2 linked regions of the Caenorhabditis elegans genome follow. The protein of the gene in region 2 interacts with the protein of the main gene of each other region in a pairwise test. Each region holds a gene or a part of one and is shown on either strand. Other genes may lie near its edges.

Region 1 (7,828 bases), on a different chromosome or scaffold from region 2:
ATTAGCAAAAATGATACGGGCTAGCTCGCCAAAGTGCTCAGATGGCCCCTGTGCCAGGTATATCTCCATTTCAATGCCCTTCCGATGGGCAAAGTACAGTGGCACGTTCTCTTCACAGCACTTGAGCTCAGCTTGAGCCCTATCAACACAGCAGCTTCAGCTTACGCACCATCGATTATTCAAATCATTCTTTGCTTTCTCGGCGTCCTCTTCCTTCATAAATTTGACGTATACGTTTCCGACCATGTGTTCTCCGATATTCTCACAAACGTTGATCTCCTCCACTTCTCCATATTTTCGCTCCATCTCCACAAAAACCTCCTCGTAGAAATCGTCAAAATAGCGCTGTTCCTGATCATTCCGCTTGCCGACTTTATCGAAAGCATCCGCCTGACGGACATCCACTACCGGATTGTGGTAGAAGTTTTTGAGCACAACTGTTGGCGAGAATGTCGGTGTATGATGGGCTCTGGAGCATTTGTCTCCGTGGCGGCAGGCTCCTGTCTGCAAAAATTATTTAATTATTGAATTTTTTCACAGAAATCCACAACAAACCTTGAAGAAAAACGAGCAATTGACTTTATCCTTCTCAGTACCATAGATTGAGGCCAGGTACTCGGCTCCGGAGAGCCCGTCACCATACGACATTGGGATTCACTAAAAAAAATGATTTTTGACGAAAAATTCAATTTCAGCGGGAAAACCCTGAGAATTACGATTTTTAAACACAAATTCTGACGGAAATACTTCAGAATACAACGTAAAACTCAAAATATCAAGAATTCAATGCAAAAAACAAACTGCGAACCTGAAACAGATAGAAAATGGAAATAATAACCAACTGCCCTGCTAAATTCGAAAACGCAACGAGGCACGCTTTTGTGGGCGGGGCGAGCGTCGGCAAGGTGAGCGCGCGCGTTTTTCTAGCGTTTTCTCTATTTTTCTTTTTTTCTCCCATGACCAGAGATTAATAAATAAGTTGAAATTTAAGTGAATTTCTCTTCAATTTTCCGCGATTATACCGATTAATTCATGCACCAAGGCTGAAAGAACATTTAAAAATCAATTGGAGCTCAAAATTATTTGGAGAAAACTCAAGAATACGAGATTTTTCACTCTAAAACTAAAATTTGTTCTTAAAATGCAAAGTTTTAAATGAAAAAAAAAACATTGATTTTTTTAAATATATAAAAAAGGGGTTTTTGATTCCTTTAAAATTCTCTGCGTCTCTTGCATCTCTCGCCGCGCGCTCTCGGGGACCACTCCTCTTTTGGGGCACGCAAAAATCGATAAGCTTTCGGCGGCGCTTGGCCTCTTTCTTATTTCTTCTTATTTCTCAGTTCCTGAATCCAAATTTACAGAAATTTCGGCGCATTTTCTCTTTTTGTTGCGAAATTCGCATTTTTAGCGTTTTTAATCGAAAAACCCCCAATTGACAAATCCGTGGGAAGTTTACATAGAAATTTCCAGCTAAATTAGGGAAAAATCACGAATTTTAGCCAAAAAATTACATTTTATTGAGCCGCCTCGCTCGCCGGCCGCGCCGCGCCGCGGCCAATTTTTACAGAAATGGCCGAGAGGGAACCTAGGCCACGGCCACGACCGCGACGCAGCTGGCGAGCGGAGCGGCTCAAAAAAATCTATTGTTTGCCCAAAAACATGTGTTTTTTCATCATTTTCGCTGATTCTTCGCATAAATTTCCAGTTAAATTAGAAAAATATGGCTCGTTTTTTCCCTTTTTTGTTGCGAAATTCCCATTTTTTGTCGAAAAATCCCCTGTTCTCCAGATGACAAATCCTTGGGAAGTTTCCGATGCCGAATATCAGAAGAATTTCGCAATGTTCGGCCAATTAACCGGAGGACAACCGTTTATGGATGCGGTCACTGCACGAAATGCACTAATGCGCAGCAATCTGCCAACGCAAGTGCTTTCTCAGGTTGATATTAAACTTTAAAAAAAAAAATGTTTTTATTCAAACAATTTCCAGATCTGGGCGCTGTCAGACTTGGATAAAGACGGCCGGCTCGATATTCGTGAATACTCTATCGCGATGCGACTTGCTCTGAATTGTCTTGCCGGAATTCCGATTCCTCCGCAACTTCCGCCTTCCCTGCTGGTAGTTCCCGCCAGAAATGCTCCACCAACCTGGCCTGGAAGCCGGCATGGCAGTGTAGACTACTCACAAACTCTTCCACCGGCCATTGATCGTCGAATGTCGCAGTCATACATCCCATCTGCACCGGTTTCGATTGCCGGAACTCCATCTAGCAGACACAACTCGATTTCAGCTGGAAGCCCTTTGAATAATGATCGCAATGTCTTCGAAGGCCGGCAGCTGGAAAACTGGGCGATTCCTCACCACAATAAATTAAAATATTCTCAATTGTTTAATGCTCTCGACAAGGAACGTCTGGGCTCCCTGAGCTCACAAGTCGGACGGAGTGCTCTCGGGCTTTCAGGCCTTCCTACCAATGTTCTCGCGCATATCTGGTTTTTGTCAGATGTGAATAAGGATGGAAAGCTATCAGTGGATGAGTATGCGATTTCTCAGTATATGATTGAAATGTTCAAAGTATGTGTTTTGTTACCGGCCAGAAGCTCTTTATTCAAAAATTGCACTTTTTCCATGAAAATCCAACTTTTCTGATCTAAAATTGATATAAAAATGTAGAAAAAGGTTCTTTCCATCTGAAAATATTGTATTTTTCATGTTTTTTCAACAAAAATAAGGAATATTTTCAATTTTATTTGTCAAAAACTTGGAATTTCAAAATAAAAAGTCAAGCCACGTGGACGCTCCTCCCACTTTGCAACATGCGGCGCGAGTTTTCGCAACACTGCCGCACGGTTGTATTTTCTTCACGAATTATAGTTTTTCAGTGAATTTTACAGGATTTTTCAACGTTTTGCTTGTTTTTTTCAGCAAAATTTCATGTTAAAACGCTGAAAAATCTCAAAATTTCAAATTTTTCTGTACGAAAATCGGAAAATACCCTAAAATCATGAAACACCATAAAAATTTCCGCTGAAAAACTTAAAAAAATTTTTTTTTCAGAGTGGATTCGCGCTTCCAAAAATAACCCCGCTGGAACTTGTCCGGATGTGCGGAATCTCATCAAGATCAGCCAACAATACCCCTGAACTCGAACCAGGAGCGGAGCCACCACAAAAGTCACCAGCTCCGAAAACTTTTGAAGATAAGCGACAGGATAACCTATCTAAAGGTCAGGCAGAACTGGAGAGACGACGTAGAGTTCTTGAAGAAGAGGAGCAACGAAGACGAGCAGAAGTAGAGAAGAAAGAGAGAGAAGAAGAAGCGAAGAAAAATAGAGAAAGACAAGAAAAGGAACGACAGGCTGAAGTTGAGCGGCAAGCTGAACTAGAAAGACAGAGAATAATTGAAGCTCAACGGGAGGAAGAGGAGAAGAAGCGGAGGCTAGAGATGGAGAGACGCAGAGAGGAGGACGAGAAAATGAGAAAAGTTCAAATGGAGAAGGCGAAAGTTAAACAGATGCAGGTACAGATGCCTGAACAGAAAAAATGGAATTTTTATGTGGATTCTAGGCGATTTTTTGAGTTTTTCTTTTGAAAATTGAACTTTTGGAACACAGAAATTTTATTTACTCATGATAAAAAAAAACCAAATTTAAATCCCTAATTTCAGAACCAGAAGCAACAAGAGAACGAGCGTCTTGCACAACGTCAGCAACGAGAAAAAACGCTGCAATTTCAATTACAAGCACTTGATGAGAAGGTTATCGATGTTGAAGTGGACATTGGAAAAGCCAAAGAAGCAGTAGCAGAAGTGACTGGATTTATTGAGAGAATGAGATCTACGAGAGACGAGAAAGTCGCGAGAATTAAAGAATTACAAGAGACTAATCAGAAGGTAATACGCGTTTAATCTATATGCAAATTACCCAAAAAAGTTCCAGACAGCTATCGAATCTCAAGAACTCGGCCATCAGCTTCTACAAAAACAGTCGGCTCACAAGGAGACAACGCAGAGAAAAAGTGAACTAGAAGCACTGCGAAGGAAACGAGATGCTATTCGAAAAGCTATAGAAGATGCCGCTCTGGAATTATCCACAGAAAAAGAGAAATCGTATAATCAGACGGAGATTTTAAAGACGAATAAGGAAAAGTATAAGACTGATGTTTATTCGAAACTTGTCGCAAAACGAGAAGAATATCGAAATTCGTTTGAGCTTCTGGTTCATGCTCAGACACATGCCAGGAGCAAAATTGGGGAATTTGAAGCGAAATCTGCTCCAGCTTCAGCTGCTCCAGCTCCTGCTCCTGCTCCAGCTCCTACTACCACCAACGGATTCCCTGCAAACTTCAACGATGCATTCGGAGAATTCGATAAAACCGATGCAAGTCAACGTTTCGACGCGGATTTCGGTGCCACGTCGACAGCGGATCCATTTGCTCAGATTGCTCAGGCGCCAGCTCATTCGAAGGGTGCTGTTGATCAATCGGCGTTCAATATTCATGACACTTATAAGTGTCGAGCTCTTTTTGCGTTTGAAGCAAGATCCGAGGATGAGCTCAGTTTTGAACCAGGTGCTGTCCGAACAGCAATATGTCCCTTTAAATGGCCTTTTGTTGTGTAGATTTACGAGCTTCTCCGGAAAAAGCTCGAAATTTCGGAATTCGTAGGAGAAAAAGTTTGGCATAAAATTCAGGAATTTTTAAATTTTTCCAAAAAAAAATCTGAAAAATTGCAAAATTCCACTAAAATCAAGGAATTTATCTAAAATTTTTAAGAGTTTTTCCAGAAAAAAAGCCAAAAAAAAAGAAAATTTCAATTTTTTTATTCTTATCTCTCATTTAAAATGACTTATTTAATATTTTTGAAATAGTTGCATGGAAAACAAATTAAATGCATAAAAGATGTGAAAAATTTCAGAAAATTTGAATTTTTTCGAAAAAAAAAACTGAAAAATTGCAAAATTCCACTAAAATCAAGGAATTTTACTCAAAAATTCTCAAACTGAGCTGAAAATGATTCCAAAAATTTTGAAATTTGTAGGAGAAAACGTCCAAAATTCAGGAATTTTTAAATTTTTACGAAAAATTATTGGAAAAAAGAACTATTTTTCCGCAGTTTTTTCAAAAAAATTTTGAAATTTTTCAAAAAGTTTGGATTTTTTCGTTTTTGGCAACAAAAAAAACCATCACTAATCAATGTTTACCTAAAAACCCCGTTTTTGTGAAAAAAAAACCCTTTTTTTCCCAAAAAATACCAATTTTTGTCAGAAAAAACTTAACAAAAAGTGTCATTTTTGACAAAAAAAAGGCAAAAATTCGAGAAAAAGTTAATTTTTATTTATTTTTCTTCTAGGAGACGTCATAATCGTCTTCCAATCCCATGCAGCTGAACCAGGATGGCGTGCCGGTCAACTTCGTGAGAAAGTCGGATGGTTCCCAGAAGCATTCGTCGAAGCAATCGCAGCAGTACCTACTCCAGGCGGTGATCCACCTATTCAGAATATGCCACCAAACATGACGCCGAGCTCATCAGTAGATCAAATTGGAGTGAAAGCGGCGCGGAAAGCGGAAATCGCAGCGGCAATGGGATTGACAGAAGGTGGTGCTCCACCTGCTTCAAGTGCTCCAGCAGCAGCAGCAGTAATATCTCAATGTATTGCACAATTCCAATGGAGAGCACGTAATGAGGAGGATTTGTCATTTGCAAAAGGAGATACAATTGAGGTGGAGAGCATTTTGCTGCGAAAAATCCAAAAATTGTCTGAAATTCTTGAGCTTGAACCTGAAAAAAATGAGATTTTACAAGTTTTCCGGCAGAAAATTTGAAAAATTTGAAGTTTTAAGCCAATTCTTAGGAGTTTTCAGCCTATTTTCCTGCAAAAACAGCTTGAAAATGTGATTTTGACGAATTTTTGAAAAAAAAATTGGATTTTCGGTGAAAAAATCGATTTTTAATCTATCTTTCAGCTAAATTGTATGATTTATAAAATAACCTTTTTTCCCAAAAAAAACCATTTTCCCCATAATAACTCTTTTTTCTAAAAAAAAACCTGTTTTCTACCAAAAAAAAACCCATTTTTATCAACAAAGGAACCCAAATTTTCAACAAAAAAAACCTTTTTTACCCCAAAAAAACCTATTTTTCAGCAAAAAAATGAGCGTGGTTTCTGGGGAATTTTTCCAAAAATTTGAAAAAAAATTTAGGATTTTATTCCCATTTCTTCTTTTCACGATTTTTCTTGAATTTCAGACTATTTTTTTTAGATTTTTGAAGGTACACCTTAACTCGAACTAATAACATTAATTTCAGGTACTAGAAAAGCAAGAAATGAAATGGAAAGGTCGAAATCCTGCCGGCGAAATTGGATGGTTCCCGAAAAGTTATGTGAAAGAAGTCGGAGCAACCACCAGCACCACGACTCCGATTGTGTCTCCTTCGAAGGCTTCTGCAGGAGCTCCAGGAGCAGCAGCAGGAGCTCAATACGACGTGGTACCTTCCGATGTGACATTACAAGCCTCCGAAACAGCCCCCCAACAACAACTTTACACTGTGATCTACGATTTTGAAGCTGTCGAGACAACAGATTTGGCACTGCATGTCGGTGACACAATTCTAGTGCTCGAGAAGTAAGTGGAGAGAGGAGCTCTCGCTGCTCTTGACAGGAGCTCATTTGGAATTGAATTTTTTCATTTTTTTGATAGCTTTTCGTATTCTTGCGCTATTATTATTATGCTTAAACGAAAGGTTTCGGGGTATCAATTTATTACATTTTGAACCAAATAAGCCCAAAATTTTTAAAATAATTGTTTCCAATTTTGCAAGGAAAACCCTATTTTTGGCAAAGTAACCTCAAAAAACTATTTCTTGTCCAAAAAAACCTTTTTTTTTTCAAAAAAGTCTAATTTTTGTCAGAAAAAAATCCAAAAATGTGTCGTTTTGCCAAAAACACCAAAAAAATTCCATTTTTGCAACAAAAACAGCTAAAAAATACATTTTTCCCCAGAAAAAAAATCATAAAACTCAGTTTTGCCAAAAAAAAAAACCAAACACGCGTCATGTTTACCAATAAAACTTTTTTTGTTTTAAACCGATTTTTTCAGAAAAAATCCAAAAGTGTCATTTTTAACATTAAAAAAACCTAAAAAGCTATTTTTTCAAAAAAGGCACAATTTTTCTTACTTTTGCCAAAAATGTGTCATTTTCGTCAAAAAAAACCCTGAAAAAAAAACAATTTCCAAAAAACACAATTTTTACCGAAAAAAAATTAAATTTAAAAACCAAAAAAAGCATATTTTCTCAAAAAAATTAATTTCTCCACAAAATTAAAAAAAAGCCCGACAAAATCCAATTTTTGCAAAAAAAAACCGAAATACTCTTTTTTTTCCAAAAAAACTTCATATTAAAAAAAACCCCAAAAACCCAAAAAACTTGTTTTTTAGCCAAAAAAAAATTACTTAAAAACTGAAAAACTGACACCAAAACAAAAATATCAATTTTCAGTGATTTAAATCAAAAAATAATTTCAGAAACGATGAATGGTGGAAAGGGCGTTGCAACGGACGTGAGGGTATCTTCCCAGCCAACTATGTCGAGATATCAGTCCAGCAGGCAGGGGATCCGACTCCACCAACTCAAGCTCCAACTCCAGCGGCTCCACCAACCGTCCTCTGTGAAGCTAAAGTTGTCGTGGATTTTGTTGCATCGGCGCCAAATCAATTGGGAATCAAAGTTGGCGAAATTGTGAAAATTCGTGAAAAATCAGCAGCCGGCTGGTGGGAAGGCGAGCTGATTCGAAATGGAAAACCAATCGCCGGATGGTTTCCTGGAGAAT
Region 2 (5,068 bases):
GCGGCCACGACAACAGGATCAGAACGAGTGGAGGAATCAGTTTGAGCTGGATGACACGTTTCAGCAGAAGCAGCGAAAAGTTGATGACTCTGTATCGAATCAGATTTCTAGAAATCAATTCAATCCACAACAGGTGAGATTTTTTTTTGCAATAAAAAAAATGCGCTGCTGCACCCCCCACCCATCATTCAGAAAATGCCAATTATTGAAAATAAATATTTTAGGTATCGATGACGCATGGAAATGTAAATGCTAACAACCGAGAGATGGAGAAACTCGATTACCCGAACAACAAACTCTGAAGCACACAGAGTCTAATAGCTAATTTTTTTGGAAATTCTGTCAATTTGATGTAATGCTTGTTATTTTTTTTTGTTTCTGTGAACAATATGGAGTTAATAAACACTGGTTCAACTTTAGCATTTTTTTATTACTACTGTTGTATTTTCAATTATAAGTTCTCAATTTATCAATTTAAGAGGGTTTTTTTTTTGGAAGTTTTAATTAAAAATATTGGAAACATTTAAAACAAGCATGAATGACGTGTCAACAGAAAAAAAAACCTGTTCAGATATTTCGTAACTTCTCTATTTGCCAATGAGCTATCCTCAACCCAAGCAGCAGCGGGGCATTCGTCACCGACTGCAAAAAAGTACTACATACTAGAAGTTTTTCGTTCAGAATTTTCTTGCAATTTCTGCCATTTCCCCCACCGCCCGTTTGCCACCAATGTCCATCCATCCATTTCGCAACGCGACCAGGAAGATATTATAAATCTTCGACGCCTTTAGCCAATCCCCCCCCCCCCCGTCATCTCCACAGGAAAACCTGTTTTTGTTCTTCTCAAGTTCCATTCGTTTCTCTGTATTCTCTTCATTTTTCGTCCAATTTCATATAACACACCCTTTCCATCCATGTTTCTTTTTTTTTTTTAGGAGGCCCGTTTTCATAGAAAAATGAAGGCATTTGGAAATGCGAAATACATGTGTATGCATGTGTGTATACGTTTGTTTGCCGCTCTTCCAGTCCTAATCTGTGAACACCTTCAGGCAGCGACGGATAGTAGCACACACTATCAAAAACTGATACTCACTGACTACCCCTTCTTCTCTTTTCATCAATCATTCAGCCCAGCACACACTCACTCACTGAAACGAAGCAAATAATCTCGTGACTTTGCGAACTCACTAGCTTAATTTCTTTCTTTTCTGACCACCGTGCGCTGCCACTGTGTCTCTCGCACTATCCGGCTCCTTTTTCTCTGCGCACTCTTTTCTCTGGGGGACACTTCTAACCATCTGCGTCTCACTGCAAATGGTGCTCTCTAGCACGCGCACTGACACTCGTGCGCTCACTGTGCGCTGTTGCACGCGCGCGGCGCGCGTTCGCCTCGAGGAGAAATACTCTCGCGCTCAACACTCAACACTCACAGATACACACACAGACACAGACACAAAACGCATGCGACGCGCGCAAAAAGACCACACACACACACACACATATATATTCACTCACAAAAGACTCACCCTCTCCAAACCTCACTCATTCGCCTCTCTGTCTTTCTTTCATTTTCTCTCTCTCTCAAATATGCATTGTACATGCGCGATTCTATTGGATCGTTTCTTATCAATTTCTATGTTTTAGCCACACCATTCAGCCACATCATCCCTCTTGCCAGTTGGCATTTTTGTAGTTCTCTGTTCAGTTTATTTGATTGGGCATAATCTTATCCATGTGATGTTTCCTTTTCAGTCAATGGTCATTCGTTGTATAATTTTGATTTCTGCCTTTGCATCTCTTTAACTTTTTTTATTTTCAGGCGGGGAGCAAACATGTCGATTTCGACGATTCGCCGGCAAGTGAAGAACGTCGCCTATAATTTCTCGGATGCACAAGTAAAGGTTCGCGAAGCCACAAGCAACGATCCATGGGGACCATCCACAGCGCTCATGTCCGAAATTGCCGACTTGACGCACAATCCAATGGCGTTCACTGAGATTATGTCAATTGTTTGGAAGCGATTAAATGATTCTGGCAAAAACTGGCGACACGTGTACAAAAGTCTGGTGCTTCTCGATTTTCTCATCAAATGCGGCCACGAGAAGGTAATGGTTTTCTGACTCATATGCATTATCGATTTTTTTTCGCATTGCAGGTCGCGCAACAATGCAGAGAGAACGTGTTCACCATTGAAACACTCAAGGATTTCCAGCATGTGGAAGACAATCGGGATCAGGGCTTGAACATTCGAGAGAAAGCAAAGCAGATCACTTCACTGCTCTCCGACGATGAACGCTTGAAAAACGAAAGAACACGCTTCATCCTCACAAGAAACAAATTCAAGCAAAACAATCCAGGACCGGTTGGAGCGGAAAGTCGTCGCAGCAATCGTCATCATGTCACCGACGCGTCTCTTGGTAAGATATAAATATCATATTGAAATAGCAGCGCGGATACTTCCCCACAACAACTCTGCTCAATTAAATTTTTTTAGACCCCGAGTACGAAGATGCTCGTCCATCTACCGCCACCGAGGAAGAGATGCAGCTTCAAATTGCTCTTGCTCTTTCACGAGAGGAATGCGAAAAGGCCGACGAGATGCGCAAGAGCGATGATGCTCGCCTTCAAATGGCTCTGGAAGAGTCGCAAAAGGTTTGTTTAGAAACCCACCATATTCCGTCTTCCCATTAACCCCTTATAGCTTCAGGATGCCGATCGCCTCGCAACGACCAAGCAAGGTACCGTGAGCAGCGGACAATTAACCCAATCCGCTCTTGACGACCTGCTTTCGTTGGGTGTTGGTGAGCTGGTCAGTGGAAACAACGATCAACCATCGTCATCGTCGGCTTGGGGAATGAATGATCCATGGGGTGCTCCACAAGCTTCTGCCTCTCTCAACACAAACGATCAAATGTTTGCTAACTCGATGTCCAACAACGATCCATGGGCTACATCGACAGTTGCTCAACCAGTTGCCGCTACCGCTCCAAACTCTGATCCGTTTGCTTCTTGGGATGCACCGGCTCCAGCTGCAACTACTCCATCAACAATGCCAACGAGCAGTTCGTTTGATCTTCTCGGAGGAGATGTAAGATCTATTTTCAGTCATTCCGTAGATTCTGTATATTTATTTATTTCAGCTGCTCTCCCCAACTAACTCATTGAGCGCCAACATCAACACTAACAACTCCACAAATGGTACCAGAAAGACTCCAGAAAACTTCCTTGGGGAGAACTCTAACCTTGTCAACTTGGACAACTTGCTGGGAAGCGGAACTCCAAGCACCACAGGTCAGTACAACCAAATTTATTTTCAGATTGGTGCTATTTTGTGCTACTGCTCTGTGTTTGTTTGTGTCATCCCTCTTAAACTCGTGCTCACACCTTTACGGCAGAAGCGCCGCTGATATCAAAATCAGCTGATAAGATGTGATGTCGTAAAGGGCACAATTTTGAAAGCGCGAACGCACTGGCGCAATAAAAAAAACTGATAATGATTGAATGTTCTACATTTTTTTTCAGGTGGAAACCCATTCCTTACCGGAGCCGCTCCAGCGAACGCCAATCCATTTGCTGCTCAACAACGAAAGTCTCCGACATTGAATGAGATGCGTGCTGCTCAAGGACAGGCCCCTCCAATTCCATCGATGGCTCCACGTGGGACACTTCCACAAGCCAATCCATTTGCAAATCCTTTCTAAACAGTCCGGGCAATTGGTCTTTACTGTGAAACTACCTATTCTAATCAGCTTTGATATATTTCTGTCAAAAACGAAACTCACTCTCATATACACTCACCACGTTTTTCCCCCGCGCCTCCTTTACAATTTCTTCTTCAATTCATGTTTGTGAAGCCCGAAGATAAATTAAACTTTGTAATTTATGATACTTATATGTCGATTATTTGTATAATCTATTTATATCTATTGCAAGCCTATCCTCCTTTTACAGCCTGTCATTGCTTGTTTGCATCTTCTCCATCCCATCCCCACTAACTTGTCATCCTCCTTTGGCTAAACTTGACTCTTTTTTTTTGAAGTAATTGTTGGTGACGGTTCAAACATTTCGTCCCCACCCATTTGCCTTCTCTTCTCCCAAAATTTTTGGGAATTATTTTATACTTTTTCTGTACAATTTTCGTCTCCCGCAACTTGTCTTGAATTAAACCGTTATAAAACGATACGATTGATGAAGTTGAGTTGTTCAATTTCTTCACTCTTTTTTTCTTTTTTGGCTCCACCCTTTCCTTCAAGTTTTCCCACATCTTTTTTTTCTTCGTGTGTATGGTATTTTTTGTAGCGTGTCTGATTGAAGGAAGTCTTCTTTTTTTTTCTCTTTATTTTCTTTGGTTGCTTCTAAATAACATCATATCAAGCAAATGCTGTCGACTAACAGTAATTTGGAGACATAACATTTTTTAGGAGATGCATATGACTTCCCACATTAAAACAAACAACAAAATTAACACAACTTCTACTGAAAAATATTTTTTTTTTCAAATGAATAAACAATCTTATCATTTTTAAATTTTTGATAAATCATTATTAGTATTTCATGTTTTTGATGACCGCAAATGCTACTTTAGACACGAAAAAGCCATCCATCGGAAATTTGGGGAACAATTGCAGGAAATTGAATATAAAAAGCACGAGAGCACTTATCCGGAATGAAATTGGCGGAAAAGGTTATGAACAATGGTTCAGAGGGGTTATCGCATTTATTGGAAGAAAAAATGGGTGAACAAGGGATGGCCTAGAAGTTATTGTTGGAAGAATGTGAAATTGTGTTTTTTTTTTCAGGAAAGGGGTCAAACCTATTTTTAATGTTCTGAACAAAATAGGGCAAGTGAAAAACGCTTAAAAAGCTCCTTCCTCCATTAGTCACGCAAGCCTAATTTTTAATTGATCCGGATTACACACTTTTGCAATATTTAATCGGCTTTTTGAACACTTTCATTCATAATTTACTCAAAAAATGGTGGTTTTACAGAAAGTTTCGTTTGTCTTTCAAGCAAAAAAAAGGTCAGTGCAATACCGATAAAAGTTTTGCCCAATTTTTCTATATAGTT

Evidence for each region.
Region 1: the proteins of epn-1 (region 2) and itsn-1 interact in a two-hybrid assay, tested with the Caenorhabditis elegans proteins (3 studies listed by BioGRID).

What each region holds. Positions count from the first base shown.
Region 1 is NC_003282.8:17,117,896-17,125,723, forward strand, and holds the start of itsn-1 (Intersectin-1), read left to right. Parts: upstream 1-1,786; 5' UTR 1,787-1,788; coding exon 1,789-1,938; intron 1,939-1,989; coding exon 1,990-2,574; intron 2,575-3,057; coding exon 3,058-3,519; intron 3,520-3,666; coding exon 3,667-3,891; intron 3,892-3,931; coding exon 3,932-4,568; intron 4,569-5,349; coding exon 5,350-5,720; intron 5,721-6,306; coding exon 6,307-6,623; intron 6,624-7,523; coding exon 7,524-7,828. Other genes in the region: uaf-2 (Splicing factor U2AF 35 kDa subunit), read right to left, coding at 170-504, 556-648.
Region 2 is NC_003284.9:14,815,259-14,820,326, reverse strand, and holds epn-1 (ENTH domain-containing protein), read left to right. Parts: upstream 1-1,812; 5' UTR 1,813-1,832; coding exon 1,833-2,105; intron 2,106-2,155; coding exon 2,156-2,417; intron 2,418-2,494; coding exon 2,495-2,652; intron 2,653-2,701; coding exon 2,702-3,088; intron 3,089-3,140; coding exon 3,141-3,291; intron 3,292-3,522; coding exon 3,523-3,701; 3' UTR 3,702-4,522; downstream 4,523-5,068. Other genes in the region: Dual specificity tyrosine-phosphorylation-regulated kinase mbk-1, read left to right, coding at 1-133, 225-302.